Caenorhabditis elegans: one gene and its partner. The protein of the gene in region 1 interacts with the protein of each later gene in a pairwise test. Each region holds a gene or a part of one and is shown on either strand. Other genes may lie near its edges.

The links.
Region 2: the proteins of F36D4.5 (region 1) and klp-4 interact in a two-hybrid assay, tested with the Caenorhabditis elegans proteins (one large-scale study listed by BioGRID).

What each region holds. Positions count from the first base shown.
Region 1 is NC_003283.11:9,416,730-9,432,903, reverse strand, and holds F36D4.5 (Desumoylating isopeptidase 1 homolog), read left to right. Parts: upstream 1-7,086; 5' UTR 7,087-7,187; coding exon 7,188-7,192; intron 7,193-8,133; exon of another isoform or gene 8,134-8,292; intron 8,293-9,780; exon of another isoform or gene 9,781-9,986; intron 9,987-11,401; coding exon 11,402-11,586; intron 11,587-11,649; coding exon 11,650-12,084; intron 12,085-12,133; coding exon 12,134-12,513; 3' UTR 12,514-12,517; intron 12,518-13,064; 3' UTR 13,065-13,647; downstream 13,648-16,174. Other genes in the region: F36D4.6 (Resolvase/invertase-type recombinase catalytic domain-containing protein), read left to right, coding at 5,729-5,845, 5,894-6,052; F36D4.1 (BLOC-1-related complex subunit 7), read right to left, coding at 13,648-13,815, 14,067-14,203, 14,939-15,066, 15,820-15,848. UniProt on the Caenorhabditis elegans protein: Protease which deconjugates SUMO from some substrate proteins. Has isopeptidase but not SUMO-processing activity. Collaborates with ubql-1 in the export of ubiquitinated proteins from the nucleus to the cytoplasm.
Region 2 is NC_003284.9:3,167,706-3,184,193, reverse strand, and holds klp-4 (Kinesin motor domain-containing protein), read left to right. Parts: upstream 1-5,492; 5' UTR 5,493-5,531; coding exon 5,532-5,598; intron 5,599-5,657; coding exon 5,658-5,730; intron 5,731-5,786; coding exon 5,787-6,021; intron 6,022-6,097; coding exon 6,098-6,207; intron 6,208-6,260; coding exon 6,261-6,348; intron 6,349-6,401; coding exon 6,402-6,649; intron 6,650-6,929; coding exon 6,930-7,500; intron 7,501-7,548; coding exon 7,549-7,648; intron 7,649-7,701; coding exon 7,702-8,060; intron 8,061-8,133; coding exon 8,134-8,348; intron 8,349-8,405; coding exon 8,406-8,726; intron 8,727-8,776; coding exon 8,777-8,960; intron 8,961-9,010; coding exon 9,011-9,310; intron 9,311-9,358; coding exon 9,359-10,011; intron 10,012-10,060; coding exon 10,061-10,343; intron 10,344-10,391; coding exon 10,392-10,565; intron 10,566-10,609; coding exon 10,610-10,780; intron 10,781-10,822; coding exon 10,823-10,990; intron 10,991-11,063; coding exon 11,064-11,124; intron 11,125-11,607; and 11 more. Other genes in the region: C15C7.6 (Glycoprotein), read left to right, coding at 13,718-13,812, 14,473-14,585, 14,634-14,845, 14,890-15,045, 15,739-15,855, 15,898-16,047, 16,099-16,263, 16,312-16,488.

The DNA of each region.
Region 1 (16,174 bases):
TTTATAGGCAAAATAGGTAAATTTATGAAACTTTGAAAATTCCCAAATCACTTCAAATCAACTTTTTTTGAAATTTTTTTCAGAAACTTTGTTGCAAATTCCAAGCTTTTTCAGAATTTACCAACAACATCCCAATAGGTGCCAGAAGCTTTGAGCAGTTACAGAAAACCTACAGTACCTTTGTGCGTATTTTATTATTAAATGAAAACGACCATTTATAGGCAAAATAGGCAAATTTATGAAACTTTGAAAATTCCCAAATCACTTCAAATCAACTTTTTTTGAAATTTTTTTCAGAAACTTTGTTGCAAATTCCAAGCTTTTTTCAGAATTTACCAACAACATCCCAATAGGTGCCAGAAGCTTTGAGCAGTTACAGAAAACCTACAGTACCTTTGTTCGTATTTTATTATTAAATGAAAACGACCATTTATAGGCAAAATAGGTAAATTTATGAAACTTTGAAAATTCGAAATTCACTTCAAACCAACTTTTTTTGAAATTTCTTTCAGAAACTTTGTTGCAAATTCCAAGCTTTTTCAGAATTTACCAACAACATCCCAATAGGTGCCAGAAGCTTTGAGCAGTTACCGAAAACCTACAGTACCTTTGTTCGTATTTTATTATTAAATGAAAACGACCATTTATAGGCAAAATAGGTAAATTTATGAAACTTTGAAAATTCCCAAATCACTTCAAAGCAACTTTTTTCGAAAATTCTTTCAGAAACTTTGTTGCAAATTCCAAGCTTCTTCAGTATTTACCAACAACATCCCAATAGGTGCCAGAAGCTTTGAGCAGTTACCGAAAACCTACAGTACCTTTGTGCGTATTTTATTATTAAATGAAAACGACCATTTATAGGCAAAATAGGTAAATTTATGAAACTTTGAAAATTCCCAAATCACTTCAAATCAACTTTTTTTGAAATTTTTTTCAGAAACTTTGTTGCAAATTCCAAGCTTTTTCAGAATTTACCAACAACATCCCAATAGGTGCCAGAAGCTTTGAGCAGTTACAGAAAACCTACAGTACCTTTGTTCGTATTTTATTATTAAATGAAAACGACCATTTATAGGCAAAATAGGTAAATTTATGAAACTTTGAAAATTCGAAATTCACTTCAAACCAACTTTTTTTGAAATTTCTTTCAGAAACTTTGTTGCAAATTCCAAGCTTTTTCAGAATTTACCAACAACATCCCAATAGGTGCCAGAAGCTTTGAGCAGTTACAGAAAACCTACAGTACCTTTGTGCGTATTTTATTATTAAATGAAAACGACCATTTATAGGCAAAATAGGTAAATTTATGAAACTTTGAAAGTTCGAAATTCACTTCAAACCAACTTTTTTTGAAATTTCTTTCAGAAACTTTGTTGCAAATTCCAAGCTTTTTCAGAATTTACCAACAACATCCCAATAGGTGCCAGAAGCTTTGAGCAGTTACAGAAAACCTACAGTACCTTTGTTCGTATTTTATTATTAAATGAAAACGACCATTTATAGGCAAAATAGGTAAATTTATGAAACTTTGAACATTCCCAAATCACTTCAAATCAACTTTTTGTGAAATTTTTTTCAGAAACTTTGTTGCAAATTCCAAGCTTTTTCAGAATTTACCAACAACATCTCAATAGGTGCCAGAAGCTTTGAGCAGTTACCGAAAACCTACAGTACCTTTGTTCGTATTTTATTATTAAATGAAAACGACCATTTATAGGCAAAATAGGTAAATTTATGAAAATTTGAAAATTCCCAAATCACTTCAAAGCAACTTTTTTCGAAAATTCTTTCAGAAACTTTGTTGCAAATTCCAAGCTTTTTCAGAATTTACCAACAACATCTCAATAGGTGCCAGAAGCTTTGAGCAGTTACCGAAAACCTACAGTACCTTTGTTCGTATTTTATTATTAAATGAAAACGACCATTTATAGGCAAAATAGGTAAATTTATGAAACTTTGAAAATTCCCAAATCACTTCAAATCAACTTTTTTTGAAATTTTTTTCAGAAACTTTGTTGCAAATTCCAAGCTTTTTCAGAATTTACCAACAACATCCCAATAGGTGCCAGAAGCTTTGAGCAGTTACAGAAAACCTACAGTACCTTTGTTCGTATTTTATTATTAAATGAAAACGACCATTTATAGGCAAAATAGGTAAATTTATGAAAATTTGAAAATTCCCAAATCACTTCAAAGCAACTTTTTTTGAAATTTCTTTCAGAAACTTTGTTGCAAATTCCAAGCTTTTTCAGAATTTACCAACAACATCCCAATAGGTGCCAGAAGCTTTGAGCAGTTACAGAAAACCTACAGTACCTTTGTGCGTATTTTATTATTAAATGAAAACGACCATTTATAGGCAAAATAGGTAAATTTATGAAACTTTGAAAATTCCCAAATCACTTCAAATCAACTTTTTTCGAAAATTCTTTCAGAAACTTTGTTGCAAATTCCAAGTTTTTTCAGAATTTACCAACAACATCCCAATAGGTGCCAGAAGCTTTGAGCAGTTACAGAAAACCTACAGGACCTTTGTGCGTATTTTATTATTAAATGAAAACGACCATTTATAGGCAAAATAGGTAAATTTATGAAACTTTGAAAATTCGAAATTCACTTCAAACCAACTTTTTTTGAAATTTCTTTCAGAAACTTTGTTGCAAATTCCAAGCTTTTTCAGAATTTACCAACAACATCCCAATAGGTGCCAGAAGCTTTGAGCAGTTACAGAAAACCTACAGTACCTTTGTGCGTATTTTATTATTAAATGAAAACGACCATTTATAGGCAAAATAGGTAAATTTATGAAACTTTGAAAATTCGAAATTCACTTCAAACCAACTTTTTTTGAAATTTCTTTCAGAAACTTTGTTGCAAATTCCAAGCTTTTTCAGAATTTACCAACAACATCCCAATAGGTGCCAGAAGCTTTGAGCAGTTACAGAAAACCTACAGTACCTTTGTGCGTATTTTATTATTAAATGAAAACGACCATTTATAGGCAAAATAGGTAAATTTATGAAACTTTGAAAATTCCCAAATCACTTCAAATCAACTTTTTTTGAAATTTTTTTCAGAAACTTTGTTGCAAATTCCAAGCTTTTTCAGAATTTACCAACAACATCCCAATAGGTGCCAGAAGCTTTGAGCAGTTACAGAAAACCTACAGTACCTTTGTTCGTATTTTATTATTAAATGAAAACGACCATTTATAGGCAAAATAGGTAAATTTATGAAACTTTGAAAATTCGAAATTCACTTCAAACCAACTTTTTTTGAAATTTCTTTCAGAAACTTTGTTGCAAATTCCAAGCTTTTTCAGAATTTACCAACAACATCCCAATAGGTGCCAGAAGCTTTGAGCAGTTACAGAAAACCTACAGTACCTTTGTGCGTATTTTATTATTAAATGAAAACGACCATTTATAGGCAAAATAGGTAAATGTATGAAACTTTGAAAATTCCCAAATCACTTCAAATCAACTTTTTTCGAAAATTCTTTCAGAAACTTTGTTGCAAATTCCAAGCTTTTTCAGAATTTACCAACAACATCCCAATAGGTGCCAGAAGCTTTGAGCAGTTACAGAAAACCTACAGGACCTTTGTGCGTATTTTATTATTAAATGAAAACGACCATTTATAGGCAAAATAGGTAAATTTATGAAACTTTGAAAATTCCCAAATCACTTCAAACCAACTTTTTTTGAAATTTCTTTCAGAAACTTTGTTGCAAATTCCAAGCTTTTTCAGAATTTACCAACAACATCCCAATAGGTGCCAGAAGCTTTGAGCAGTTACAGAAAACCTACAGGACCTTTGTGCGTATTTTATTATTAAATGAAAACGACCATTTATAGGCAAAATAGGTAAATTTATGAAACTTTGAAAATTCGAAATTCACTTCAAACCAACTTTTTTTGAAATTTCTTTCAGAAACTTTGTTGCAAATTCCAAGCTTTTTCAGAATTTACCAACAACATCCCAATAGGTGCCAGAAGCTTTGAGCAGTTACAGAAAACCTACAGTACCTTTGTGCGTATTTTATTATTAAATGAAAACGACCATTTATAGGCAAAATAGGTAAATTTATGAAACTTTGAAAATTCGAAATTCACTTCAAACCAACTTTTTTTGAAATTTCTTTCAGAAACTTTGTTGCAAATTCCAAGCTTTTTCAGAATTTACCAACAACATCCCAATAGGTGCCAGAAGCTTTGAGCAGTTACAGAAAACCTACAGTACCTTTGTGCGTATTTTATTATTAAATGAAAACGACCATTTATAGGCAAAATAGGTAAATTTATGAAACTTTGAAAATTCCCAAATCACTTCAAATCAACTTTTTTCGAAAATTCTTTCAGAAACTTTGTTGCAAATTCCAAGTTTTTTCAGAATTTACCAACAACATCCCAATAGGTGCCAGAAGCTTTGAGCAGTTACATGCGAAAAAGCTAATTATTATGCGTTTGCTACTGTGTGTTTTAGGTTTTTTTTCTTCATAGAAGTGATCTTACAATGATGATTATACTTACAGTGTCACCGGCCTTGTGGATATCCGAAACCATTTCGACGGTTTCTATCCCGGTTCCTGTACGAACTTGCGTGTACACTATCATCGCAGCAGACGAATCCTCCGGGAGTCCAGTCCCAAACGAATGGCGTAGAACGTGCTCCCAGTCGACATTCGACACCATCTCATCGTTCAGGCACTCCCAAACGTCTCCAGTAGGTGAATCTGTAATTTAAGAATCTTTAAAAAATCCAGGAATGTTCACTTACTGCTTCTATAAGTGAAGTAATGGCCTTGATCATTTTCTCCTTTGTGTACGATGCAAGCACTCATCCGGAATTTGGGGCCCTCCTGAAGGGGTGTGAAGTGGTTACCCATTACGAGGACTCTAGGGAACGTAAATCGAGCGTGGGTCTTTCTCAGGGTGACGTCATCCATTCGATCTACATGCACGAGAAGACATTTCGGCAGATTATCACTCGTTGCCCATATGGAACCGATAGATTGCATTGCAGATTCCGGATCTTTCGAAATGGTATTCACACGGATGATCTTTGGTAGTTCAAATCCGGTGGTGGAAGTTGATGCGAATATTTTCTTGAAGCATTGGATCAAATGATCAGTTCCATCAAGATAATGGTGCCCACCGACCAGCCCCATACCATCACGGATCCATGTAATGAGCAGAGGCATCATTTCATTGACATCTTGTTGTCGCTGGATAACAGATTTTGAATCGCTCGATTTTCGCAATGATTTTTTTGGAAAAAAAATAGGAAATAATTTTTTTCGGTCGATAATTTGACGTTTCATTTTAAAAAAACGTGGAATTAGTTACACGTGTTTTTGAACGTTCATCAATGTGTAATGTCAACGTGTAATTTTGTATCCAATATAAAATTTCCCACGTTTTCATATTTAAAAAAAAGTCAATTTAATTTTTTTTTAATATTTAAAATGTTAAAATTATTTAAAAAATATTTAAAATGATTTACTCGTATAGCTCTAATCAAACTTTTAATTTCAGACTCATCGCCTTTTTCCCGCCTCCTTCACCCCTTCTCATCACCTCCACTTCGCCCACATCAGGACTCAACGACCCGGCAAACTGTTTTTATCTGTAAGTTTGCCTCTTGTATTTGTTCCGCAGAAAAAATCATATCCCGTGGTCTTAAAAGTTCAATTTCAGACTCTTCGCCTCCTGTCAATTCGTCTATGGCTACTGACAATGTGAGGCTGGAAAGGATGGAAATTGGGATGCAGTTACTGTTGCTCAGGATGGCTGAAAAGGACGGAGAAGCCGAGAAATTGGCTAGAGCTGAGCTTATCACAGTACTGAAGTTTTACTAATAAAATTAAAAATTCGTTTTCCAATTTCAGGAAGCAAACCTCGGCGGCCAGGGCGAGACTACTCAGCTGAATCCACTGGTTCCAGTCTCCAAAGCAACTGCTGAAAAACTTTCGAACGAGCTGGATGAGGTTGGCAGGAATCGAACAGCAAGGTGGTCAAAGTCTGGGAGAACCTGTGTAGTTTCCTGAAGCTCCAGAGGCTCAAGATGCTCTAAAGGAAGCCGAGAAAGCTGTGCAGAAAGAGGGAAATGTAAAAATAAATGATTTTCCCAATTTTATTTGAGTAATTGTTAAAATTTCCGCGGTTTTGATTTGTCAAAAAAAACAAGCCTTTTACATAATTGTTTTAATTTAATTCAACTATTTGTAAATTTTCCTTTCTAAAATCCTCCAAACATCGTGTTTCTTAAAAAGAAAAACTCACCATTTCTCTGGGTTCCTGTTAGGCCTGTTGAATGGGTCGAGATGGGTCGACCCGTGACCCATTTTCGGAAAATGTCTGAAATTTAAAAAAAAACATGTTTGTTTTGTTGTAAAGCGTGTTTTAACGTTGTCTCTTATGCTTGTTTGTATCGAAAATAGGGTATGTTTTTTTAATTGATGAAAATACGATAATTTTATAATTTTCAGCTTTTACACGTGTTTTTTGACAAAAAAATAATTTTTCAAGATTTTGATAATTTTCTGTTAAATTTGGAAAAAAATGGGACATGACCCCGACCCAAATAGTGGGTTGGGGTCGCGTCCCCGACCCAATAGTGGGTCAGGGATGCGACCCCGACCCCGACCCGGCCGACCCAAAAAAAATGGGGCGACCCACTCCATAGGCCTAGTTCCTGTTATCTCCTTCTGTTCCCATAAATCTATATAATCAGTACAAGAAAAGTCTTACCGCTTTCCATAAATCTGTATAATGACAATGAGCTTCCAAATGGTTATTCTTCTTCTTCAGTTGTTCTTCGCTTCTATGAGTATAATCATATGAGTAAATATTCTCCACTGACCGCGACTCGTTTTTCTTTTTTTCCTTTCTCGCATCCATTTGTCATTTAAATTTTAGAAACGCCAGCTATATTTAGATGGCGAATTTCAAAATCTTAAATTTTTTGTTATAATTTGTTATTTTTTCTTCTTCTGTCAAAGATTTCATCACAATCAATCAAAGACACTATATTAACAAGACACCAATTCTCCAAATACATTTTGCGCGTCAAATGTGGTGTTTACGTACAATGTGCAAATTGTCGTGAACATTTCTCGCTCCGAAACAGAAAATTCAGGAAATTGTTCATTTCCGTCTTCAATTTTTTGCCGTCGCTCACTTATGCTGTAAGCTTTTATTTTTTTTTTCTCATTTTGTACTTTCCATGTTCAAATAAGTGTCCAGTAATCATGCGTTTCTTTCTTATCCTGCATTTGCCTTTAAGAGTGGAAATATTCGAATCTTTAGCGCTAAGAGAAGATAAAATAAAGTGCTAAATTAAGCACTTTCTTTTATCTTCTCTTATCTATTTAAGAATCAATTCAATATTTCTAACTTTTGATTATGTTCTTTTTATAATTTAATTGAATTCAATCATAATACTAGAAAAAAATGTCTCCATCGTTGAATTATTCGGATTATCCAATTCCCGCCGAGAAATTAAAAAATGAGAAAAATAGTGTGAAGTGGACCATTTTTATTGCGAAATGCGATTTCTTCCAGAACTAAGTATAGGCATTTTGCTTCCCAGAAAGGAAACAATGGAGGCGTATTGAGAAAGGGTCGTTTAATTGAATCAGAAAAAAAGACGAGTGGCAAAGAGAAGTCTTCATTTATTTCTATTTCTCTTTTTTGTTGAATTTTTTCGACCTCCTCAAGTTCAATCCACTCGTGCTGAATCATATGATGTCCTGTCCATTTTGACTCGATATTTGTCTTTTCAAAATATTCTCACTTCAACAGAACACTTAAATGTTTACAATATCAAAATTTCTTCTAACGTTCGGCAACTTTCTGTCTCGTTGTCATTTTGCGAGTAAATCGGCGGCATGTTCGTTCCACTTTCTTTTTCATCTCTCTTCTCTATTCCTCTTTTCCCTGCTCCGTTCTTCTCATTTTCCTGGAGTAATTTGAGCTGAATTGAGGAAGGCTGTGGTCCTCTCCATTCGCAATTCTTTTCGTAACTATTACACTATACTCGTATTCTATCTCCATAAAAATCAGGCGTATTGAAATTAAAACTTCCTACAAAGTAATCGACCGTTTACGCCTGTGTATAGTTTAACAACAATCGATTCAAATCTGAGAGTGTACAGTTATAGGAGACGCGCGTGTAGCGACGAGTGCTCGTCTGCTTCTCTGCGCTTCTCCAATCATTGCTTTCTCTCTTCACGCGTTTCCGGTGGAACAGGCGAGGTACGGGCAAAAAGCGCGGTGAGGCAGCAGCAAGGTTGAGTTCAAACAGGCGGTGAGAGCATTCCTGAACCTTTCTTCCTGTCTGTCGTTCAAGTGTTTAGACTTTGGATTTTAAAATTCGAATCGTCGATTTCATTGGGTTATTCTATCGATACTCTATTTACTTGTTTGTTTACCAATAGATCATTATCATCCACATTTTCTCACCACTATACAGTTGTTTCCCTTTTTGCACCCATTTAACAAATATTTTTTGTTTTTATTTGTATAAAACGGCTGTAATGAATGCCGTTCCAAAAAATTAACTATCATATCTTTTTCTAATGATTTATTGAATTATCTTTTTCTTCAGATGATGTGAATTGAGTTTCATAAATCGTTTCCAACAATTTCTTCTAACCCTTTCTAAATTTATACGTATACCCCTGAGATTTGAAGAACATGAAGAGATAAGTGAAAAAAAGATTTCCCATCCATGCTCGTACAACTTTCTTGCTTCCACCCCGAAAAAGTTAGGCAAAAAGTTAACGTAGCGTGTAGAAAAGCTTTGAAAATGAGTGATGGTCCTCTGGCTCAGTTTTCATTGCCGAAAATATACAAATTCTAGTGTAGAGTGCTCTCTTCTCGAGTGACTGACGAGTGTGTTGGTTCTTGGCTGCAGCCATCTTTCTTCCCATACTGATTCATGCATATGATTGTTCTTCTCTCAACTAGTACAAGTAGTCGTCATTTTATTCTCTGCAGCATTTTCTTATTCTCATTCAGAGTCATCTTTCTTCCCTACACCTGTCGTCTTTCATCTTTCTTGCTGTCCTTGAAAAGCTCTCATAGTTAACGAACCAGTCCTTTCGATGTCGGCAGTAAGCAGTAATCCTCTGGTACAGTTGATCGTCTTCTTCAATTCTTCTCTCATCTGCCTACAGGATGGCATAAACAAAATTAGCTATCTCACCCTGTTGGCAGATGTCGTCTCAGATATAATCCGCCTTTGCCTTTCCTCTTCTGGCACTCACTTTTCGTCTTTTTTGTATACTCTCAAACTTCCAAATTGAACGTTTCCCTTCTTTTTACATTCAATGACTAACATTTCAGTTTTAGTTTTTATGACTCATGTGATAGCGCAATGGGAAAACTATATGAGAAATAATATTACGAAATTATTCGAAAAATTTAACGTCTGATTTCATTCTAAACAGTTCTTTTTTTTCAATCTCTCAAAAATCATCTCTCTCACCTGATTTTTTTTCAAATTATTTAGTAGATCGGGTACTTGTGTATTATACCCCCGTCATTTTAAAAACGAATTTTTAATTTATAAAATATAACGTGTGGACTTTTAGGCTTAGGAAAACACCATTCCTAAGCCTAACGAGGAAAATGGGTATCACGTTTAATTTAAATTAATGGAAATTTGTTTAATTTTTAAAATGGCGGGGGTATAATACACAAGTACAGTAGATCGTTGTTTCCCCAGCTTTTTGCCCCACGCACAATGTGATTGCTTTCCAGTTTCGTGCTCTTTTCGTAACCCTGGCTCCCATCCGCATTGTGCAATTCGTCCTCTTGCAGAAGCAGCCTCAGTTAGCGGCTGCCATCCTCTTTTCTTTCCGATTCGCCCTGTACATGGAGAAAACGTGAAGCGTTAGTCAATATTTGCGCCTTTTCCGTGAGAGTTAGACACTCTTCGACCTTGAGAGAATTTAGAGAAACAGAGATACCAGCGAGGGCAAGCTCGGAAATCTTTCTACCGCGCGGACGTGTTTGCCACCCGGCGCAAAGCGACGTGAGACTGGAATTTTTGAGGAGAGGATCACACGGAATCGAAAGAATGCAAACTTTGCGAAAGAAAAGAGAAAGATGAGTAGTAGTGTTCATGAGGGTGTGCCGAGAAGTAGAGAAAGTTTTGTGTGCATTCAACATGACATTTGTAGAAAGCAATGGAATTAAAGGAAAGGGCGGAGCCAATTGCCCTTTGGGTGTCAAGGAGGTTAGATCACGACCTGGAAAAGCTTTTTCGGCATAGAAACATGCGTAGAATCACTTGTTAGTTGAAACACGGAATTTCTTCTTTCCATTTTCAGAGAATTTGGCAACATTTTTGTGTCTTTTTATCGAACATTACTGTGAAATATCATGAAATACTTCTTTGGTTTTTAAAAAAGTTAATTCTTAAATGAGAAATCAGGTGTTACCAGTGTAAAGTGTCGTCGATCTTTAGACTGACGGACTGTCATCTATTTGAAATTGAGACAAAGGCAGCGAAAAAGCCATGAGAATCGAATGTCTCTGCCCACCTGGTTTCCCAAAATTCATGACCTCAATTTGAATTTTTTCTGTTTTGTTTTCGCCATCCGCCAGAATTCCATTCTCCGGAATTTTTTCCACAACTTGAACAGACTCTTTTTCGAGTCTATTGTGGTTTGTCAAACATTTTCAATGAATGTGTGACGACTATATGAGTACCTCTCTTGTCATTTTTACTTCCGAAACGACCCATCATTGTATAATAATTGTTGTTCTTCCCCTCTAGTCGATAGAAAATTTGTTGGTCGTGTTGAACCGAAGATTCATTTTTTTTGTTGAAGTTACTTTTTATTGTTCACTTTATTGTTATTTTACAAAGAAAAGTGTTCAAATAGAGAATATTTCGAAATTAAAATTATTGCGAAGAGAAATTGTGTAGTAAGATAGATGGATGGGGTGCCGACAACAAATTATTCATAGTAGCAAAAAATAATATTTTTTCTTTTATTTTTGCTTGTCCATAGAGCACTCTTCGTCCCCCCTTTCTCTTTCCGCTCGTCCTTATTTCATTCATATTTTTTTGAAAAACCAGTATTCTGAGCTTTAAAATAGTTTTATCAGTGACGTTCTTAGTTGTTTATTATCCAAAACATTCATAAGATCACAATTTTTGCTCTATGATTGCAATTTCTCAAAAAGTCCATTACATTTAACGAATGTTTTTCTCTAGACTTACGAATTATTTACATCTTCTCTTCTTGTTCCCCATAGTCAATTTTTAGATAATCCTCTCAATGACGTCCCAATGGCTTAAACAAGATCGTATCCCCTTTCGCTATTTCTGTTTTTGATCTCTACTTTCGTCTCAAATCTTCTACTAAACCATTCATTTTCAGTACTGACTTGTTCTACTCGACATTTGGCTGCTTGTACTCGCCCACTAGCACAATGGATGTGATGGGAACAGCCAGAAGAAAAACTGTGGTTAGACTTAATGTCTATGATATGTATTGGCTGAATGATTACGCATCGAACATTGGCGTTGGCATTTTTCACTCTGGAATCGAAGTTTTCGGTGTCGGTAAGTGAAGTTTTTTTTTAACTTTATACCTAAAAAACAGCTAAAATAAATAATTTTTTTCAGAATACGCATATGGTGGACATCCTTATCAGTTCTCAGGAGTCTTCGAAAACTCACCACAAGATGCGGAAGAACTTGGCGAAACGTTTAAATTCAAAGAATCGATTGTTGTTGGAGAAACTGAGAGATCTACCAGTGACATTCGGAAGCTTATAAAGTCCCTTGGCGAGGATTTTCGCGGAGATCGTTATCATCTAATTTCCCGTAATTGCAATCACTTCAGTGCAGTACTCGCTCGTGAGCTTACTGGCAAGGATATTCCGGGTTGGATCAATCGATTGGCAAACTTGAGTGGAAGCATTCCATTCCTTGAAAAGTGCATCCCACAAGAATGGCTTACGCCAATCGTGTTGCAGGCCTCTGTCGATGAGAAGAAGAGAGGATCAGTAGATTCAGCAGAAGAAGCAACTGAGAAACTAGTGGTTCGATCGCTGAATGGTGAGTCGAAGCAATAATGTTCGAGAGAAATGTGCAATCAATCCTTCAGACTCCCGCACTACAATTCTTGATAATCGAACCGCAAATGGAGCCATAATAATGTCAGCTTCTTCATCAAATTCTGATCGTATCTGCATGTCCCCATCATCTTCTTCTTCTGCTTCATCCTGTGATACTCTTGACTATGACGATCTTATTGTTCAAACACCGTCTACGTTTTCAAGTGAAAAGAAATCTCGTAGCAACTCACCGCCAATTTTCCGCATCTGGAATACTATCAAAGCAACAATAAACGGAACTCAACAGACAGCTCCTACCGGAGCCGCAACTGTGATTCCAGCCTCTTCGGCCTCAAATATTGGAAAAACGAACAGTACGCCTGGCACAACAAGCAATGGTCTTGCAAAACCAACATGTTCTGAATGTTAGAGATGTAAGTTTGTGCTTTTTTTACCAGGGCTGTTGCAAAAAATATTTTCGACCAAAAAAACAAAAAAAAATGTTGTTTCAAACTTGGACAAAACACAAAAAAAATCAAAATTCTCCAAAAAAAGTTCGATTGTTTCATCATGCCAACCGAGGGTTTTTTTGAAAATTTGGTCATTATTCTTCTTTTTAGAACAAAGTTGTTGTGTTTTTGCTCATCATTATAAACAAAGTTAGATTAAAAAACAAATATTTTATGGTTAATTTTCTGAATATTTTTTTTCGATTTTCCAGAGAATGAAAAATCAAAAATTTTCGTAGTTCCACTTTCAATCTTTTGATTTTTTTTTGATTTTCACTGAAAAACATCGAAAATTGATAAATGGCACACCTCTGACTAAAAATAATTTTTTTAAAAACAATTTGTTTTGTTTTTCAGTCCGAAAAAACCAAAAAGAACCAAATAATCAATTTTTGCCAAAAAAACGACAACCCTGTTTCTTACTTGTTAAAGATGAACTATTTGGAAATATTACAGGTTTTATTTATTTCAGATTCCTCGCCGAGAATTCGTTTTTTTCAGTGATTGATAGCTGAAGCCGTCATTCTCGTCGTTTCCTATAATTCCTGATAAATCTTCCTACCCTCCCCTTATTGCCTTTAAGTTTCATTCGAGGTATCTAAAATGTATAAATTTATTTGATTTTCTCTTCACCACTTCCCAGCCAACTCAAATGGTTTTCTTGTGTAACATCGGATAGTTTTTTGGCGTTTTCTTGCCTTTTCTCTAAACGGCTTCATTGAAACATTATATGACTATGTTATAAGTTTTCCCCCCGAATTGTGTGTATTTATGAACCTACCACTTCGTTTCTTTTTCCTTCCTGATCCGCTCATCAGTCCTCATCACCTCTTTGCCTTAAGTTTCCCCAAAATGCATTTTCAGTCAATTCATCTTTCATCGACCCTCATTATATACACAAGTGTCTTCCCTATTTATGAATCTAATTTCGAACTTTTATCAAATGTGATATTTTCTTTTTTATTTGGGAAGTGTACTTCCCAATTATTTCAGAATTTAATCATAAATTCAAAAAAGCGCAACTGCATTCATTCAATCGATAAAGGGACAGAAATTTACTCTTGTTTCTCAAGAACAGGATCATTAAGCATATCCGTACTGTGGAAGTCAGCCGATTTTTCCATTCTGTCCAGCATATTCTCACAAACAACGACAAGTGTTTTGTATTCTTCAATCAGTGTCATGATCTCTTTTTTCGTTTTTTCACTTGATAGATGGGAAACCTGAAAATTAAAGTATAAAGAAAAATATAGTTTCCCATGACAATATCATGTTGCGGCGGTTATAAAAACCTGGAAAACAGCACTATTGCTACTACTCTACGCGCCTACAGTAACCCAATTTGGTCTTTGATTTCAATTTTGAAAACAATCCGCTCTGCAATCTTCTAATGTTTTCATAGAAATAGTAATTATCATTGTTCCTCTTTTAAATACTCCAACGATTTCTTTAAGGGCAATATTAGAATATGAACCTTTTTTAACGTATCAATCACCGGGACCAATTGCATATGAAGATTGGTAACATTATCACGGAGCTCTGCGGATCCAAACAATTTCCCGATCCCGTTCATCCATTCAGCCAATTTCAACTTATCGACAACAAGTGTGACTGAAATTTTTATAATATTTAGGTTCATTGTGTATTTTATTTGAAAATTGAAACAATAATGTATATCTTCTACTTCTCAAATTTGAAAAAAAAACATGGACTCATAGAAAAATGATAAAATTCAAAATACAGTAGATTCAAAATACTGTATGATTTTAGCAAGAATTATTCTCAAACACGGTAACAAATTTCCGTTTAAATGAAAAATTTAATCATACTGAAAGGTCCTAAATCTGAAGTACAAAATCTAAATACTGAAACATAATGTCTATGAATCTGAAAGTAAAAACTCTAATCCGACGACTGATGCGGGAAGCCAAGGACCTAGGTTGGAGAGTTACATAAATAATCCCTAGTGCCTCAGCATAAATACAAAAAGCCAAGTGAAAATTTCGAGGCTTCTGGAGATTCTATATTTGACACCTTTTTGTTACAATTAAAAGCCAAAAATGTGTACGTTCAAGATTTCAAACTCTCGACCCAGCTGGCTCTTGTGGTAGTTAACAAAAAATAATAAATTAAAAACAATTTTCCATAGTGTGTTCTATGTTCTTACTCATTTTTTTCATCAAAGCAGGGCGTGGCATTTGTTTCTTTTGCATTAAAAACCAACAACTACACATTCAGAAATTGTAAAATAAATAAGTTGCTCTAAAAATTTGGAACTTTTTTTCTATTCTTGACGCTTGAAAAAAACTAAATCCCATTAGATCCTTCATTCTCAATTAAACTCACCACCAATGTACTCAAACGTTCTCTTTTTCTGACCAAATGGTCCAACTGGTGGCAGAATCACACTTTGGACTGAAGAAAACGAGTCATTTGATGTACCGAATGAGGAATGAGCTGATGAATTAGACATTCTGTAAGCATTTTATGTGAAAAATAGAAATAATGATATTTTTGTTCTTTTATAGGGAAACCTCGCAATATTTCATTCTCAGTGTTTTAGTATATATTTATCTTGCAAGCTTTTTTATCTCCGTATGTTTACGTTCCAAGTCACATGGTTTTAAATGGCTTTACTTAGATTATTTTTTAAAATTCCACCCGAAATTTTCAACTGAATTTAATGAAGTTTCAGTATAATTCAAATTCGAGAGTTACCTGATGGAAGGGAACAAATATATTAATGTAACTATCTTCTTTCTTTTTTTTTCGTCTCTCCATTTCAATAATTCCGTGAATATACTTCCGGCTAATCAAGTGAGAATAAAGATTCAGTTGTTTGAAAACAAGATTAAAAGTATAGAAAGGGAAGAAACAGAACCAAAATATTGCGCTGCTTTGAAGCTCTCAAAATATCTTTTCACTTTACAATTACTCGAGCTCCTAGTGTCTTTAATTTTTCAAATGAACGAGCTAGTTATCAAAGAGTGTAAACTTCAACCACGGCAAACAAAATGCATCAATTTTTACTCGAATTTACCAAAATGGCTTTTATAATTATAATTATACAATTATAAACAATTAGCAAATTCTCAAGGAGTACACACTGACTCGTAAATCTTCAATGGTCGCGGTCGAGGTTCATTCAATTGCACAACACGGATAGCTCGTGTATTTTTGAAAACTTGAGACGCTGGAAACCTTTTTCAAAGTTGACATTAACTTACCGAGAAGAAGATTTTCTAATCGTACACATGAAACGACGACGATGCTTGCAAAAATTATTGAAATGAGGGTTTTATTAAGATAATTTGCAAATGCATTGAGGAAATTTTCACGTTACTTTTTTTGATGTTATTTCATCAGAAAGAGTTCTTTGAATTTGTAAGTGGAGGTGTATATATTGAAAAAGCAAAGAATGAAAGAGAAAGAAAGCCAATTCTTTTTGGATTCATGTACATTTTTATTTGGAAAATAGAGAGTCAGAGGTCCCTTCACTTCAACGGACATTCTTATTGCATATTTCCGTTGAAAAAAAAACGGAGAAGAATAAGGAAATTTGTGAAGGAGAAGATACTTCAA
Region 2 (16,488 bases), on another chromosome or scaffold:
GTAGGTACATTAGAGAAAAATACCAAATATTTGAAGAACTCGTGAAACAATTATTTTGGCCGACTTCCACAACTATGACTACCTTTCGACTGTATAAAAAGCATTTTGATTTGATTTGATTTATGTTCAACATTAAGAGCCAAAAGGTAATACATTAAAAGGTAGTACAATTTAAGGTTTAATGAGAAAATAAATTTATAAAACGAGACAAACCCAGTAAGAGTTCATCTCGAGTGTGGGAAATGGGTGGGGTAAGAATTTTCAGTTTGAAAGTTTTACTATAATTTTTAAACATTTCGGCTCATTAGGAGCAATTTTAAACAATTCTACAACTAACCAGACTCTACCTTTAACATTGAGCAATAATGTAATTATGTAAGTACCCAAAGTTTATGAATTTTTGAATATACACATTTTTTGACATTTTCTAACATTGAAAACGTTTTTTTATGAACATTTATATAACTGCAGAAAACTTTTTTCTCGTGTTTTCCTGACTTATCTGTCAATAAAAGAAGTGAAAAGATGATGTATAACCGGAATATTGAATATATGCCATCTCACTAAAAGTTTCATAAGTGCCTCAAGGCACTTATGAACCCGATCATTCGACGTTTTTTTTTTGTGTCTTTGCTTTAAACGAAACGAGAAGCAAAAGGTTTCAATATCTTGTTATGATATGTGTTTGCGGATCACTTTTTTCGCCACCGAACAGCAGCGGAGAGAGGGGGGAATGAGGAGGAGAAAGGCATGCTCCGCGGGGCACTTCCTGCCCCATTCTTTTACACTTTATCAACCCACGGGTGCCATTAGCCAGTTTTCGTGTGGCGAGAATACAATTTGATTGCCAGTTCCAAAAAAAGAAGAGGCTAGCTGGAACAAAACTTGTTTTGCTTCTCTTTTTTAACGTAAAATTCCACGATGAACTAAGATATAATGTAATACGTGTGAAAATGAAATCCGGATCAACGCGTTGTAGCCTGTGGTTTTCTGTGTTTTCTGTGCTTTCTGTTTTCTGTTCACTGATCATCTCCTGGTTATCTCACCCCTTTATTTGACAGTTACTTGCTCAATATTTATCTATTCTTATCAGTCGGCTCTATTGTCTGTTCTGTTCCCCCCACTTGTATTTTGAGATTCAGTAGAGGCTAGAAAAATTGTATTTCTGCCTTCTGGTTCATCCGGCGAGCTCTTTTGTTTTGAGCTCGAAAGCTTCAGTGTAAAATCACTTGTTTCCAATTCATCAAGATAATTATCGTGATAGCGCGGCGAGGTGAGGAGGGTTCCTGCCGCAAAGTTTGAATGCTTTCCAATTAAGTTTGATGTTAAACCACTTCACTCGAATTAAATTGTTTTATAGGTCATAATATTTTATTGTTTTACATGGGTTTTGGGCTATATTAGTACAATAATTCACATTCAAAAAAATTGCCATCAGTCCAAGTCACTTTATTTCAACTAAAAACTAAATAGATTCCAATCGCAATACGTCACGCAAACGTTACAGATTAATATCTTTTTTCCCTTGATATTGGTTATTTCTTCATTGAAAAGTTTATTACACAAAAACCGAGGTGTTTTCCTCAACAACTTTTGTTCATTTTTCGCGGCCCGCATTACTACTATCAAACATAACGATTATAAATTCAGAGTAAACTTTTTTTTTCGACCAATTGTTTTACAGGGTAGTTAATTTATTTTTCGATGGAAAATTGCCCCTATTGTTAAAAAAATGTATTTAGTTAATTTAACTTAATTTTTAGAGGTATGTATATCTAATTTATCAGTTTTTAAATATTTTAATGTCTAAAATCATGCATCAAATAAATTTTTGTTTTTGAGTGTGTACTCAGTTTTTCTAAGTAAATACAAAAATTATATATTTTTTAAACAGTTATTTTAACCTTTTTTTCCACTAAGAATAAAACATATAACGAGTAAAAATAGTAATCCTAGACAAGGCAAGATACTTTGATTCTCATAAATTATAAATTTCCTATAAATTATTCCTAGCCAATAAATTCAAAAATCAACGTTTTTCTGTTTCTCTATATAATGCTCCGACTCAAAAGTTTACCTTTGCTCCCACCCCCGTTCTCTTATCGATAAATTTTTTGATTAGATTTTTGGCCAGTAATACGTACATTATCAGTTGTGTTTTCTTTGTTCTACACCTTGTTGCCTTTTTCATTTTTTCTTGCAAAGAGTGATGTTGAAAAAGGGCGACCCTTCAAAAACCAGTAAATCTTCTTTCAGACGGCCCCATGTAATAAATGCAAATTGAAAAAAGGATTTTTTCATATTCCAATCATGTTTTTTCTTTCTTCTTTTCTTTCTTTTTTTCGTTTTTTTTCTCTCGAGCCAGTATCAGCTGGTATTCTTCCAGAATTGGCGAGCAAACCTTAAGAAAAAAGGAATGACAGAAAAAAAAATGCACAAACAGCGGCATACCAGCTAATTGTTATCGTCCTCTTCTCCTTCTTCTTTCATCTTTTTCCACACTTGGTGGCCCCCCACCCAAGTCTACAACACATTTGGGTTCGTAGAGCATCCGCGGACCATGCCGCCCCGCTAATCCACTATTGAAACATATCCGTAGGCAATGATCCAGCCAAAGAGGGACCCGAGCTGAAGGGAGCCTCTCTTCTTCCTTTTTCTTCTTTCCTCTTTCTCTTCTTTATTTCATTTGGTGAGCAGAAAAGGCGGCGCTTTTTTTGCGTGTGTGTGTGTCGTGTATATGTCTAGTCCCTTTGAATACTTTTGAATAAGACGTAAAAGTACCGATAGGATGATTCGCATCTAACAATGTCCTATCCAGCTGACGGCGCTCCCTTTTTGCTCCTTAATGTGACATCATCTGGCCATACGGCGTTCTGTTTCGTCCCACTATGCTAATTATTTCGGGAAATGCATATGTTTTAAAATGTTTCCTACTTGTGTTAAATATTATTTATTTTAGACAAAGAATACCGTTTCAATTTAAGCTCCAATAAATAAAATATTTGAATTATTTCAGAAAACTAAAATGACCAAATATCCCAGTGAAACTTAAAGTCAAAAAGATATAAATTTCTATTTTCGCCTCATATTTTGGAATTTGACGATATTTTTTATACGTCAACTGACGGCTTTTCATTGCTTGTATATAAAGGTTATAAGGGTTCAAACTTGCAGCAGTGCCCGAAATTAGTCAAAAAGTTTACTTGTTTTGGAAAACTTAGTAATTTACCAAAACTTAAGCTGATATTTTTTGAAAAATCTAAATTTGTGTTGAACTGAACATTTGGAAAATCTTTAAACTTTACAGTATTTCCTTCATTAGTTTAGCAACCTTTACTAATCTTACACCCCTACAAGCTAATCGAAAATTAGTCTTCCAACTTCTAATAGTCTTGCACTAACAGCAACACTTTGCGGTAACTTTAGCAAAGTTGTCATTTTTAGAGTAAATTATACTTCATAGCGTTCAAACAATTTATGAAAAAGTGTAAAAGTGTGTATTTTCATTGTTTAAACAATATCCAGCTATGATTTCTATAAAAAATGTTTGGCCCAAAGTTCAAAGTCTAAAATTTAAAAAATAGCATTCAAAAAATAGTCTTGCTGCTTTTTTTAGACTTGCACTCCTACGAACCAATTGAAAATTAGTTTTGCAAGACTAATAGAGGAAATATGGCAATTCTGTATTTAGACTTTTTACCATTTCAAAATGTTGAATAGATTTTGACAAAATCCCCATTTTCCCTACACTGTTTTTAATTAATATTAAAGTTTTAATGAAACCCGGTAGCTATTTTTGGAACGTTTAGATTAACATTTCTTATTGCATGTTTCAAAGAATTACTTTTCTAATAAACACAATCGTGTAAACATTATACATCCCGATTTGGCAGTTCTTTCACACGTCTATTTACCAAGGGATCCTTCTCTTTGTGGATCAGATGATTTGTGACATCTCGCGAATTCCAATAAGATGACGCACGGCTACAAAATTCTTGATTAACAAAAACGCACATCGTGTTGATTAAAGGATTTCCGAATCTAGATACCTCTCTCTCGCTCTTTTTCTTTTGCGTCAATTTTTTTGAGCTGTCAAATCGTTTGTCCTCAAAACCCGAGCTCAAAAAAGATCAGCTCAATTTGTTTAAGTAGTGCACTTTTTTGATAGGATTGTTTTCCCGTTTTCTCAAGTGTTGCTTCCCATTCTCCGGCTGAGCAATTTTTGAAATTTTTTAGTGAGTGAAGTTTAAAAATCAAGCATCTAGATTTTGATGACGAAATAAAACGAATTTTTTACAGCCAAAAAAAAACGAAGGGTTCACATTGCAGCTTCCGGTTCCAGCTCATCTTTTGCTCTTGTTCTTTCGTTTCTTTTTATGGTGGAATGAGTTGAGCCGAGTTCAGAAAGAAGCGCGGAAAAACGGGAGACGCGCGCATCAGCATAGTAGATGTTCATCAATTGCAAATGAGAATGTTAATGCTCGGCCGGGTTCACTGGCGCGGGGTGCACACGCCAATGTATCATTCTGAATGGTTTCGTATCGTGCCCTTTTTTGACTAGGAATGTGTGGGGGAGAAGGATATGGGGATAGAGAACGGCGCCAGAGATAGACGGCTACCACCAGGACGACAAAGGTTAGAGTCAGACAGATGGAGCACGTTCCGAATATCATTTTTCACCGGCTCATTGTCCATTACGTCATGTTCCTGCAATTCCAACAAGCTTTTGGGACTCATAAAAAGTTTTTGATCAGTGTTTGCGCAAGGTCACCTATCCAATTTGGGTTGTAAATTTCCAATTTTTCGGCTGCTGCGCGAGATGTATCTCATGGTTTTATTAGGAAAATCCATCGGTTACCTCATCTCCTGAAACTGACGTGAAGAGCCAAACTTCTAAGCTTCACTCTCAGTTTCGTCTTTCTACTTTTTCCCCCTCTCACTTCCCGTTTTTGTTTATTGTACAAGAATTAGATAGTTGGGAACAAAGTGTCTTTTGAAAAGTGTCCGCTACATACATATGTCATGTACAAGAGATTCGCCTCGTGCCCCCCGTTTTTGGGGGCCCCCAGAAACTACTAATCCCTTTCCAACAGAAGCTCTTTTGGCATTGATGTGCTCTCACACCACACAAAAGCAAAGCACCCAATGAAATTGCACTCTGTCTCACTTTGCCAGCAGGGAAAAAAATAACTTTTGAAAATCAAGTTTGATTTCTTACTTAAATTCGGTTTTTTTAAGTTTATAAAATTTGAGAAACTTCCAATTAAAATCTCCGCTTCCAGTACTTTCTCAATTCACTGACGTTTTTCGTTTACTTTTCGTTTACCTACCCATCCGATTATGTTCGCCTTTCACCTTTCCTTGTATCATTGCGAGTGAAAAGTTTTCCAAAACTGATTGCCTCATAAATTTTTTGATTATTCTCCCTCACTCCGTCTTCGTTATTGACAATAACTTTATCGATTACCTGCTTTTTATCAATTGAGCGTGTTTTTCAGATGTTCTAAGAAATCTTCAGACTTGGTTGGAAAATGACAGCTCCAGATGAAGAAAGCGCTGTCAAAGTTGCTATTCGTGTACGCCCGTTTAACAAAAGAGGTAATATAATTTATTATTAAAAATGGTCATTGTGATATCAAAATTTCAAAATATTTCAGAACTCGACTTGAAAACAAAGTCTGTGGTTCGAATTCAAAAGGAACAATGTGTGCTTCATCATCCAATTGAAGAGTAAGTAGATTAATGAGAAAGCAAAGAAAAATTACCTGATATCTATTTTATTGTAGGAAAAACTCGAAAACCTTCACATTCGATCACTCATTTTGCTCCACTGACCCGCATAGTTATGACTTCGCAAGTCAAGAAACAGTGTCCTATCACCTTGGATCCGGTGTAGTGGAGAACGCATTTTCGGGGTACAATGCATGCATTTTCGCTTATGGACAGACTGGATCCGGAAAGTCTTACACAATGATGGGAACCCCTGATCAGCCGGGAATCATTCCTCGTGTTTGTAATGATGTGAGTTTTTTTGTTCGTTTTTTTTTCCAAAAATGCACTCCTAGTGAAATTGAAAGCATACCTGTTTTTTTTTCAGATATTCACGAGAATTCAAGAAACTAGCAATTCTTCCCTGTCGTTCAAAGTTGAGGTGTCTTACATGGAAATTTACAACGAAAGAGTTCGAGACTTGCTTGACCCAAAAAAGTAAGCCATTCGTTTCTCTCAAAAGCAAAAACATAAAACAAACGTCTTTGAAGATCAAGCAAAGCATTGAAAGTGCGTGAGCATAAAATACTTGGACCCATGGTTGATGGATTGTCGATTCTTGCAGTCAACTCTTTTGAGGTTTGCCGATGCTTGAAAGAGTTTTTTTTCATCCACTTGTTTATTTTTTCCAGCAAATTTCAAACCTGCTAGAAGAGGGAAACAAGTCAAGAACTGTCGCTGCAACTAACATGAATGCCGAAAGCTCAAGATCACATGCAGTTTTTAGTTTGATTGTAACACAAACTTTGCATGATTTGGAAAATGGGTTTAGTGGCGAGAAAGTTGCCAAAATTTCGTTGGTTGACTTGGCTGGAAGTGAGAGAGCTGGGAAAACGGGAGCAGTTGGAAAACGGCTCGAGGAAGGTGGAAACATTAACAAGTAGGTGAAACTATGGAATTTTATATACATTTTCTTGCGAAGTGGCTTAAAAAATAAGTAAAAAATTGGAGGAATTTAGTTTCTATTTTTCTCCGAAATGATCTTGAAAAAAAAATCGATTTTAAATTTTCAGCTGATGTTTTTTGTTAAAAAGTATGTTATTGATAATCTCAATTTCATATTGATTTTTCAAATTGAAGAAAAAACTTGAAGTCACTACCAACTTTCAACTTAACATTTAACAGGTATATGTATTTATTAATCAAAAGCTTGATTTCAGATCACTAACTACACTTGGTATGGTAATTTCTGCTTTAGCGGAAAGAAATTCCAAAAAAGACAAGTTCATCCCATATCGAGACTCTGTTTTAACCTGGCTGCTCAAGGACTCACTTGGAGGAAATTCAAGGACAGTTATGATTGCGACCCTTTCTCCAGCTGCCGATAACTATGAAGAAACCCTCTCCACACTGAGATATGCAGATCGTGCGAAGAAGATTGTCAACCACGCAATTATCAACGAGGATCCGAATGCAAGAGTTATTCGGGAACTTCGCGAAGAAGTGGAGACTTTACGAATGCAGATTACACAAACTAAAAAAGAGCACGCTGAAACTGAAGAGCTTCGTGAAAGGCTTGCAGAGAGTGAACGTCTTGTAGCTCAAATGAACAAGTCTTGGGAGGAACGTCTTAAAGAAACTGACACGTTGAATAAAGAACGACAGAAGGATCTGACGGAAATCGGAATTTCTATAGAGTCCAGTGGAATTAAAGTTGAGAAGGATAGGTTTTATCTGGTGAATATGAATGCCGATCCATCATTGAATGAGTTGCTAGTCTATTATATTAATGTGAGTTGAACATTGCGTTTTTTGTTTCAATAAAATTATATTTTCTAGGGATCAGCAATTATTGGAAACTCGGAGGAGCTAGAGACAAGTAGAGACTCTGGACTATCAATGACATGCAGTGATTCTTCGAGAAGAGATGATGACAAAGGTATTGTATTTTTTTTCAAATTTTTTGATCTACCATTTTTTTTCTCTTTTCAGAACGAACTAGTATTGTCCTCCGAGGTCTAGGAATCATGAGACGGCACGCAAAAATGACTGTTGAAGAGTATGGCGGGCGTCTACGCCTGTTTGTAGCCCCAATGTCTTCGGAATGCAGAATCTGTGTTAATGGAAAGCAGATAACTGAAAGGACGCTTCTTAGAAATGGGAATCGGCTGCTTGTGGGCATGAATCACTTCTTCAAAGTTAACTGCCCGAAAGTGATGGACATGGAACAATCCATTATGGAGGACAGCACCATGTTCGACTACAATGACGCTTGGCATGAGGTTAACGATGCGAACCCCATCAGTTCCGCCGTTGACCAATACATGGAGAGTGTTACACTCAAGCACCAGGTTTGCGAGATTTCTTTTTTCGTTGCAAAAATCTAATTCCTACGTAATTAAATTTTTATCGGTTTTTTTTCAGGAAGACAAAAAGGCAGCTCTTGAGCAACAATACGAAGCATTTGAGAAATACATTCAGTCATTGACTGCCGGCGGGTTTACCCCATCTACGCCAATGACTCCTGGTTTTTGTCTGCCTACTCCAATCACTACACCTACCGGACTACCCCCATTCCCTTTCCCAGCAAACCCAAAACAATCTGTGAAAAGCAAATTCTTCTATTGGGCACAGAGAAAGTGAGTTTTTAAATAAATGTCAAAATTTTGAATTTTCAAAAATATGAATAATTCCAGAGAAGAAATGTTCGCGGAGTCATTGAAAAGGCTGAAAGCAGATGTTATTCATGCAAATGCTCTTGTACGGGAAGCAAATATGATTTCCAAGGAGCTCAATAAAAAACCAAAGCGTCAAACCACATATGATGTGACACTGCAAATTCCAGCTTCAAACTTGAGACCGATTAAAATCAAAGCTGGGCAATTTGTTTGTGAGCCAGTGATAGTCGTTCGTAGAGAAGGAATGAGTGGAAGTCAATTCTGGACTGTTTCTCAGCTTGAGAGCCGTCTTGTTGACATGAGAGATACTTATAATGATATGCTAAATGGATTCACAAGGTTCGAGTTTATTCATTGATCGTTACGAATTCAATTTACATTTTTTCAAGAACCAGCGAGTCTTTGAACGGCACACCTCATGCATCACCAATGAAGATAGCCGGAATTCCAATGAATGAGTGCTCATCTCTAGTCATTGACCCATTCTTCGAAAGCCAAGAGCACCATAATTTAGTTGGTGTTGCAAATGTGTTTTTAGAAGTGTTGTTCCATGATCTCCGTCTCGATTATCAAGTAAATCAAATCGCGGGAAGATGTTGATTTTTTAATGTTCTCTATTTCAGGTCCCAATTATTTCGCAGCAAGGGGAAGTTGCTGGGCGTCTTCATGTGCAAATTTTTCGCGTGGTAACTCAGGAAGAGATGGATGAAACTTCCAATAATGGACCAGAGACACTTCTTGGCAAAACGATCACTTGTCGGGTACGAATCAAGCGCGCATCTGGTCTTCCGGAAAAACTATCAAACTTTGTGTTTTGTCAATATTCATTTTTCAACATTTCTGAACTACTTGTGGTTGCCCCAGCAAACGAAGCTGCTAATCATTCATCTTGTCCAACTACTGTGATTTTCGAACATCAAAGAGTGAGTTTGCATAACCTAATAACCATTGATCATTAAAGCAAATTGCAGGATTTCAATGTGATGGTCACGGAAGAATTTATGGAGTATGTTAGAGATGATGCGTTGTCTATTGAAGTATGGGGACACAGAATATGCGGACATCCTGAAGAGCGAATTTTGGACACTGATGAAAAATCCAAGTCTTTGCAAAACCGATGGATGGAAGTTACCAGGCGTTTAGAAACGTGGTCAGAGGTGCGAGAATTGAATGATAATGGAGATTGGACGAGTGTGGAAGTCCGACATGCAGATGACGTATCGACTGGCGGTATATACCAATTAAAGCAAGGTCAGCAGAGAAGATTGGTTGTGGGTGTGAATGTTGCTGCGCCTGATGGGTTGCCTATCAGCATTGATTGTATTACTTCTGTTAGCATTGGGGCGATTATGGCTGTAAAATCAACGAACAACTTGAAATCGATCGACAGCTACCAGGAAGAAGACTTGGATAAGATTAGAAAACAATGGTCACATGCATTAAAGTCACGACAGTATTATCTTCAACATCAACTTGACTCTCTTTCTGCCAAATCAGGAAAATCCGAGGCTGAGCTGGACCGTGAGCATTCTCTAATGGGACAATGGGTAGCATTGACTGAGGAAAGAACAGCCGTCGAATGTCCAACACCAAATTCGTGTATACCAGGAGCACCATGTGATTGGTATGTGACGCGATTGAGCTTAAACTGAATATATCTTGATAATTTGCAGGATTGCCCCTGAAGGAGTGGAACGACATATCCCAGTATTATTCTTAGACTTAAACTCCGACGATATGACCGGTGAAATGACAAGTGATGAGAATGTGCCGCGTGTTGCTGGCTTACACTCCATGCTTCCACTTGAGCCAGAGGGCAACTTGCTGATGGTTCCAATTCAGAAGTATGATGACAAAGATCATGTGGCAACATGTTCCTGGGATTCATCAGTTCATGATTGTCCGGCACTCAATGTTCCTACTAACAGCAATGATCGTGTGTACGCAATTGTCAAGGTATTAGTACCTAAAATAATATTCAAAAATAAAATAAAATATTTTCAGATTATGGTGAGACTATCACACCCATGTCCAATGCACATTGTGCTGAGAAAGAGAATATGCTTACAAATTTACAAAAAACCAAGCCTAACAGAAAAGTTTTTCAAGAAGATGCTGGGCACCGAGACTATTCATAGAACTTCTTTATACTATGATGTAGTTGCTCATATTCCGAAGGTAAAAAATGTAACCAAACAATTTTCTGAAACATATTTTTCCAGTCTTCGCAAGATATGGAAGACCGGTCTTCACTGGCAATGATGGCTGCGAAGGATACATCTCACGACGAGCAGGGCGGTGGCTCATCTCGAAGCTCCACTTCATCCACGGAATCACAACACCAGCAGCAGACCCTTAATTACATTGAAGCCTACACAAAAAGTATTCAGGCGGTATGTCCAGTCAACGGTTCTTCGAAAAATATAATATTTCAGGTCGAGTCAATGTTGAAACTGGATAGACTTCGCCAAGAAGTAGCTATTACCAATATGCTTACTAAGAAGGAAAGGCTGCAACGTATTCAAAATTTCGGACTACCAATGCATTCTTTGAGGATGAACAGAGCAGTCAGTTTGCCAAATGCAATTTCTAATGCTGGACAGGTAAGTTGGAAGTTTTAAATATTGCTATAGTTGATTTAAGAGCATCTTGAAAAAATTTCATTTTTTTTTTCAGATTAATGGAGTAGAAAAACGATCCGACACGCCAATGAGTATATCCTCCTCCAATTCAATGGGTATGTTCTTTTTTTTATTGATTTCTTTTTTTTTTTGAATTATTGACTCGCCGCTGGTTTTTGAATCGCCCGGAAACGCGTCGCTTCAACTTGGTTCTTTCTACTCACCTTTACAGATCATTTAACCCAGAAATGTGTTTTCATGAAAAAAAATACATACAACTAATGCTTCTCACTTCTAATTTTTCTTCGCTATCTATCCCCAAAAAGTGATATGAATTGCACCTTTGATTGCAGTTGGGAATCAAACGATCTCGATGAAAAATGCACTTTCTGCACTGCGGATTGTTTTTAAAAAGCATGCAGAGCTTCTCGAAATTCTGTTTCTTTTCAACAACTTGCTTTCTAGAGTGAGAAAATGTGAAACTAAGCATTATTCCAAAAACTATTCCGCAATCATTTAAGAACTAATCACACAATTCTCTCCGCTTCTTGTTCTCACTTCACTTCCCCCTCCATTTCAACCACTAACATACTTTTCAGCGCGACCTACATCTCTTAATCTGAAACCTCTTTGCATTGGAAAGTGTAGGTTTTGTTTGTACCGTGCCCAAGAGATAAGCTGCTGTTTTATTTTAGTTCTTTCCTTTTGCATGTTTTTGCACGTTCAGTTATTGCAACCTATTTTCCGTTTTTTCGAATGTTTCAGCATGGTAAGATTTTTAAAAACATGGAGTAAAAATATTGCCAGGTTCCGTCTTCATACATACTTGAAATTCAAATTTTTGAAACAATTGTCCAATTCTTGTTAGAGTCAACTTTGTCTCAACCTTGTCTGCGTGAGAGAATGTTCCAAAGCTTTAGGAAAAGTTTAATTTAATATGTGTTACAGTAGTGTCAAAGAAATCAACTTATAGTGAAACGGTATCTTATTTTCAGTGACGAGCATCATAAGCCCGTACAACGATAAACTGACAGGGATTATGGAAGAGTCTAACTCTCTGAGAATTGAGGTAATTCATTTCAAAATGTACAAATTCTATTAACATCCAATGTTGCAGACTGTCCCAACCCGTTCTTCCACAGTACCAGAAACAATGTGCTTCTCAGCGGCTAAGAAATTGGTATAGAGATAATATTATAGTGTTCTAGCCAGTAGTATTTTTGAAATTTCAGTCACCAACGGAAGATGTAAAAAACGGAAATGAGAATAGCAGCCCTACCCGTACTGCAACAAATGGCACGTCCATGGGAGTTAACCTCTGCCTTCCACTAGATAACAACAACCAATTTGCGTCAAAAAAAATGCAAAATGGTAAGGTTATTTTAATACTGTAACATATAAGACATATTACATATTACATTAGATACTTGTCCTAAACACATAATTCCATTTCAGGAGACCTGGTGGATCTCAAAATCAACTAAATACGATGCCTCAATAGTACATGTCAACTTATATTTTGCTTTAAAATCGGGACAAGAAACTGACTAAACCAACATGATAAACACGATTCATTTGACTGCAATGAAGTCAAGATATTCTTAATATTATTGTATAACTGCTTTACCGGCTGTGACTTTTTCTTTGCTTTTTCATTCCAGTGGTTTTTACTCATTTGTGCTTTGTTTTTTCTTCACTGCAGGTGTTAGACCGCAATCCTACTTTGTAATTTGTTCTACAATGAATAAATGAAATTTTCATACTTTTGTTGATTTTCAAATTGAGATTCAAATTACATCCTAATAGATATAAACCCATATTTTTGAAAGTAGACACATTGAAGAACAGAAAGTAATGCTGGGAAATTTTTTAAGCTTCTACGTTTCAGTCTTTTGTGATTTGGAAAATTTTGAACAACACGTAAATTGACTTTTTTACAAGGTCGAGTGAACTGAACACTATTGCTAGGTTTGGCAAACGGCGTTGTGCTGAAAAAAAAATTCGGCACAACGTCATGTATAGAGCAACTACAGAGGATGGAAAAAAATTATTACGTTTTAATCAATTCGTTTCCAAATATTTTTCGTGCATCCCATCAATTTCTACTGATCTACAGTACACAAGTTTTAACAATTTTCGAAAACACTGTGTTTTTGAGAAAGTGACAAAAAAGGTGAAAAGGAGGGAAAGTAAACAGATAAATGGAAGGAGAGAGCAGGGGCCCATTCAAATATCAGGAGGTAATCAGTTTCAAATTTTCGCGCGGGGTTTTCGTTGGAGCGCTATTGTTATCTTTATCAGCAATCTTTTTATAACAACTTTTGGATATTCAAATATTGAAGGCCGTTACTTGGAATCAAGGCAGCACGTATTTTCGGATTTTTTCTTTATCTGCCGATTTTTAGATTTAACTTTACCCTTTTCATATCTCAAAACCATTTGTTTTCTATTCTTTATTCTAAAAAATTTTCCTTTCAAAAATCAACTACCGCAGCCCAAATGACCTTTAGAAACATAACATTTCCAGTAAACAAATTTCATTTCTTTCGTGCCCCCAACCGTTGGCATTTAGCAAAGGAGCACTGTTTGAGAACATTCGCATCAATTTTTTACACAATACGTTTTTGACCACACAAAAATATATTTAGAGTGCATCAACTGTTACAAAAATACAATCGCATTTTGCATTTGCTTTACAGGAACAAGCCGATGGCAAAGATGAAGCTTGTTGTTTTTCTGGCTTTTTTGGCATCATTAGTCGTTGCTGACTTACTTATTCTTCGAGATCGTCTGACACCGGCAACGTGAGTTTTTTAAAAGAACTTTCATTGAAGTTTGTACTAGGATCCCAAGTATCATAGTAGAACTTTTATACATTTTTTGAAAATTTTTACAAAAATTTTAAAAAATTGTTTCAAAAATTGGTAGTTACTCAGTTTTTGGCACTTTTTGTAAATCTTTAATTAAAAAAATTATTTGGCAGTTTGCCGCATCTTATTACCCAACTTGAGCAATTTATGAACCAACTTTAGTGTCTCGCAACTTTTTTTAAAACCATCTTTAACAAAATCACACTTAACTTTAGCAACTTTTTTAGTTTAGCCAATGTTAGGAAGTAAAAATGTTTGTGACCATCCACAATTTTAACCTACTTTACCCAACTCTAGCAACTTTTGCAATTGTCATTGCTAAAATTGCTCAAGTTGGCGTAAAAGTTGCGGGATTTTGCCGAGTAGTAATTTATACTTTTGAACATCATAAAAAATTTATAAAGGTTTTTTGAAAGTTTCAACTCAGACATGGGGTCATTTTGGCAACATAGAAATGATTTTAATTAATTTTCCTACTGGCGCTGCATTAAAAATCCAAGTTTGCCTGTTTTTTCTACAAAAAAATAGTAACGTTGCGGCCAAGCATCCTAATTCTAAACTCATGAAACAATTTGTAACTCACATATTCTGCAGAATGGAATTCACCGAAAACATCAAAAGATCGTGTACCAGCATTGATATCATCCCAGGATCAGATCCCAACTTCAACATTACCTATATGATTGAAATGACTTGCAGGAAGCAAAGTGATAGCCATACAATGTTCTCAGAATCTTTGAATTGTTGTTTTCCAGACATGCGCCAAAAGAGGTTCACGGAATACTTTCCAGTTTTGAGTTGGCTTCTGAAACAGCACAATAGCCGCAACATGGAAAAAGAAGATCAAAAATATATCGATATGTTGGAATTTTCAGACAAGATGCTATACCTCGAAGAAGTTCTAGAAATGCCAAGTATCAATCTGCCGTTTGACGACATCGCAAATCTTATCAACTGGAATGGAACTGTAAGAATTGGTTATTACTGTTTTGAGAAATATAATGTTTATAGGAAATTATTCGCTATTTCAATTATCCGTTGGGAAAAATTGAGGACGCGTGGGCGGCATTGGCAAAAAGAACTCTGCAATGTGACAAAGCAAATCGACTTGAAATGATAGTTTGTGGAAATTTCAATCCAACGAGAAGAATGGGGTTGCACAAAATAGTAAGAGAATGTTTTGAATTTTGAAATTGAAGAATCGTTTGGTGTTTAGAATTAACATATCGTTTATCCTCTTTTAGTATCTTGTTTCTCAATTTTAAAAGTTTATATTAAAGATAAAGCAGACACAGCGGGGAAACTGTTAACAACCGGTGAAAAAATAGCCAAATATCGTTGTAAAACTTTTTCAAAAAATTTTGGAATTCTTTTTTATTGAAAGTCAAAAATTGGCAATTCCTGAGTTTTTGCCACTTTTTCAGGAGCACTGTCGCATGTTCGAATCTCTACAGTTTTTTGTAAATGTGGATATGAAACTTAAGTAGACCCCAAAATTCGAAGGAATATTTTTGGTTGAAGAAAAAAGTGGCAAAAACTGAGTTAAAAATGAGTTATGACCACTTTTTGGCTGTCAATAGAATTTTTCAAAAATTAATTGAAAGGCTTTACTGTGTCAAATGGCCACTTTGGAACCATAGGAGCGGTTTTAATATTTTCCCATTGCCGCTACTCCATTTTTAACAATTATTTAATATATTGATTGTATTTGTTTTATTGGTATCTGAAAAGCTAACTGAGATATGAGCTGTCAAGATGGGTAGTCGGGTGCAAGACTGATTGAGGAAATATAAGACATCTGTGGGTATCAAGTGTCACATTTTCTTGCAAGTGGAATCCCTGACAATCAATATATTAAAGGTCGCCTCAATTGGTCATTTCTCATCACTCGGGACGGTGTTCAAATATCGAAACATTTCTACACACGCGGTGTTGTACGATGGCAAATTATTTTCAATGGATTCCTGTCGTTTTCTGGTTTGTGATAAAACATCAAACTGTAGTCATTCAAAGTTTCAGAAAAATTACTACGAATGCCAAATATCTCGGAATACTACTTGCACGGTTACCAGCCCCGAAAATTGTCCGGTCGAGGTTGTGATGGCTCCTACTAAAGTTTTTGTTAGAGAATATGTTGGTGATTATAGTGTTGTCGCAGCAGTCGCAGAAGTATGTGACTGGCTTTAAAAATATTGGAATTCAAAAAAAAAATCGTCTCAGGCTTATCAAACAATGATTCATGGACATTATTCAACTCATCAAATGGGCATCTCGCAGCACGTTTCTTTATTGCTCCCAATTGGTTCGTATGCAAAATTCAATAACGTCAAAGTTTTTGGAAAATCACTTAATGCGTTCGATCATTTTGCAGTTAACACAGAGGCGGTGAGTTGAAATTCTTATTAAAATTAACAACAAAACATGTTTATTTAGGACCACCTCCCAGTGAGCCATGAAGATCTCGATAAACTGGAAGCCAATTATGGAAACACTGAAGAGGTCCTCAGGCATCGTGCACTTCTCAAATCAGAGTTCTCACAGTTCCTCGACAGAAACTTGATGTTAATAATCATCCTTCTTACTATTGTTTTTCTTGTTACTGTGACCATT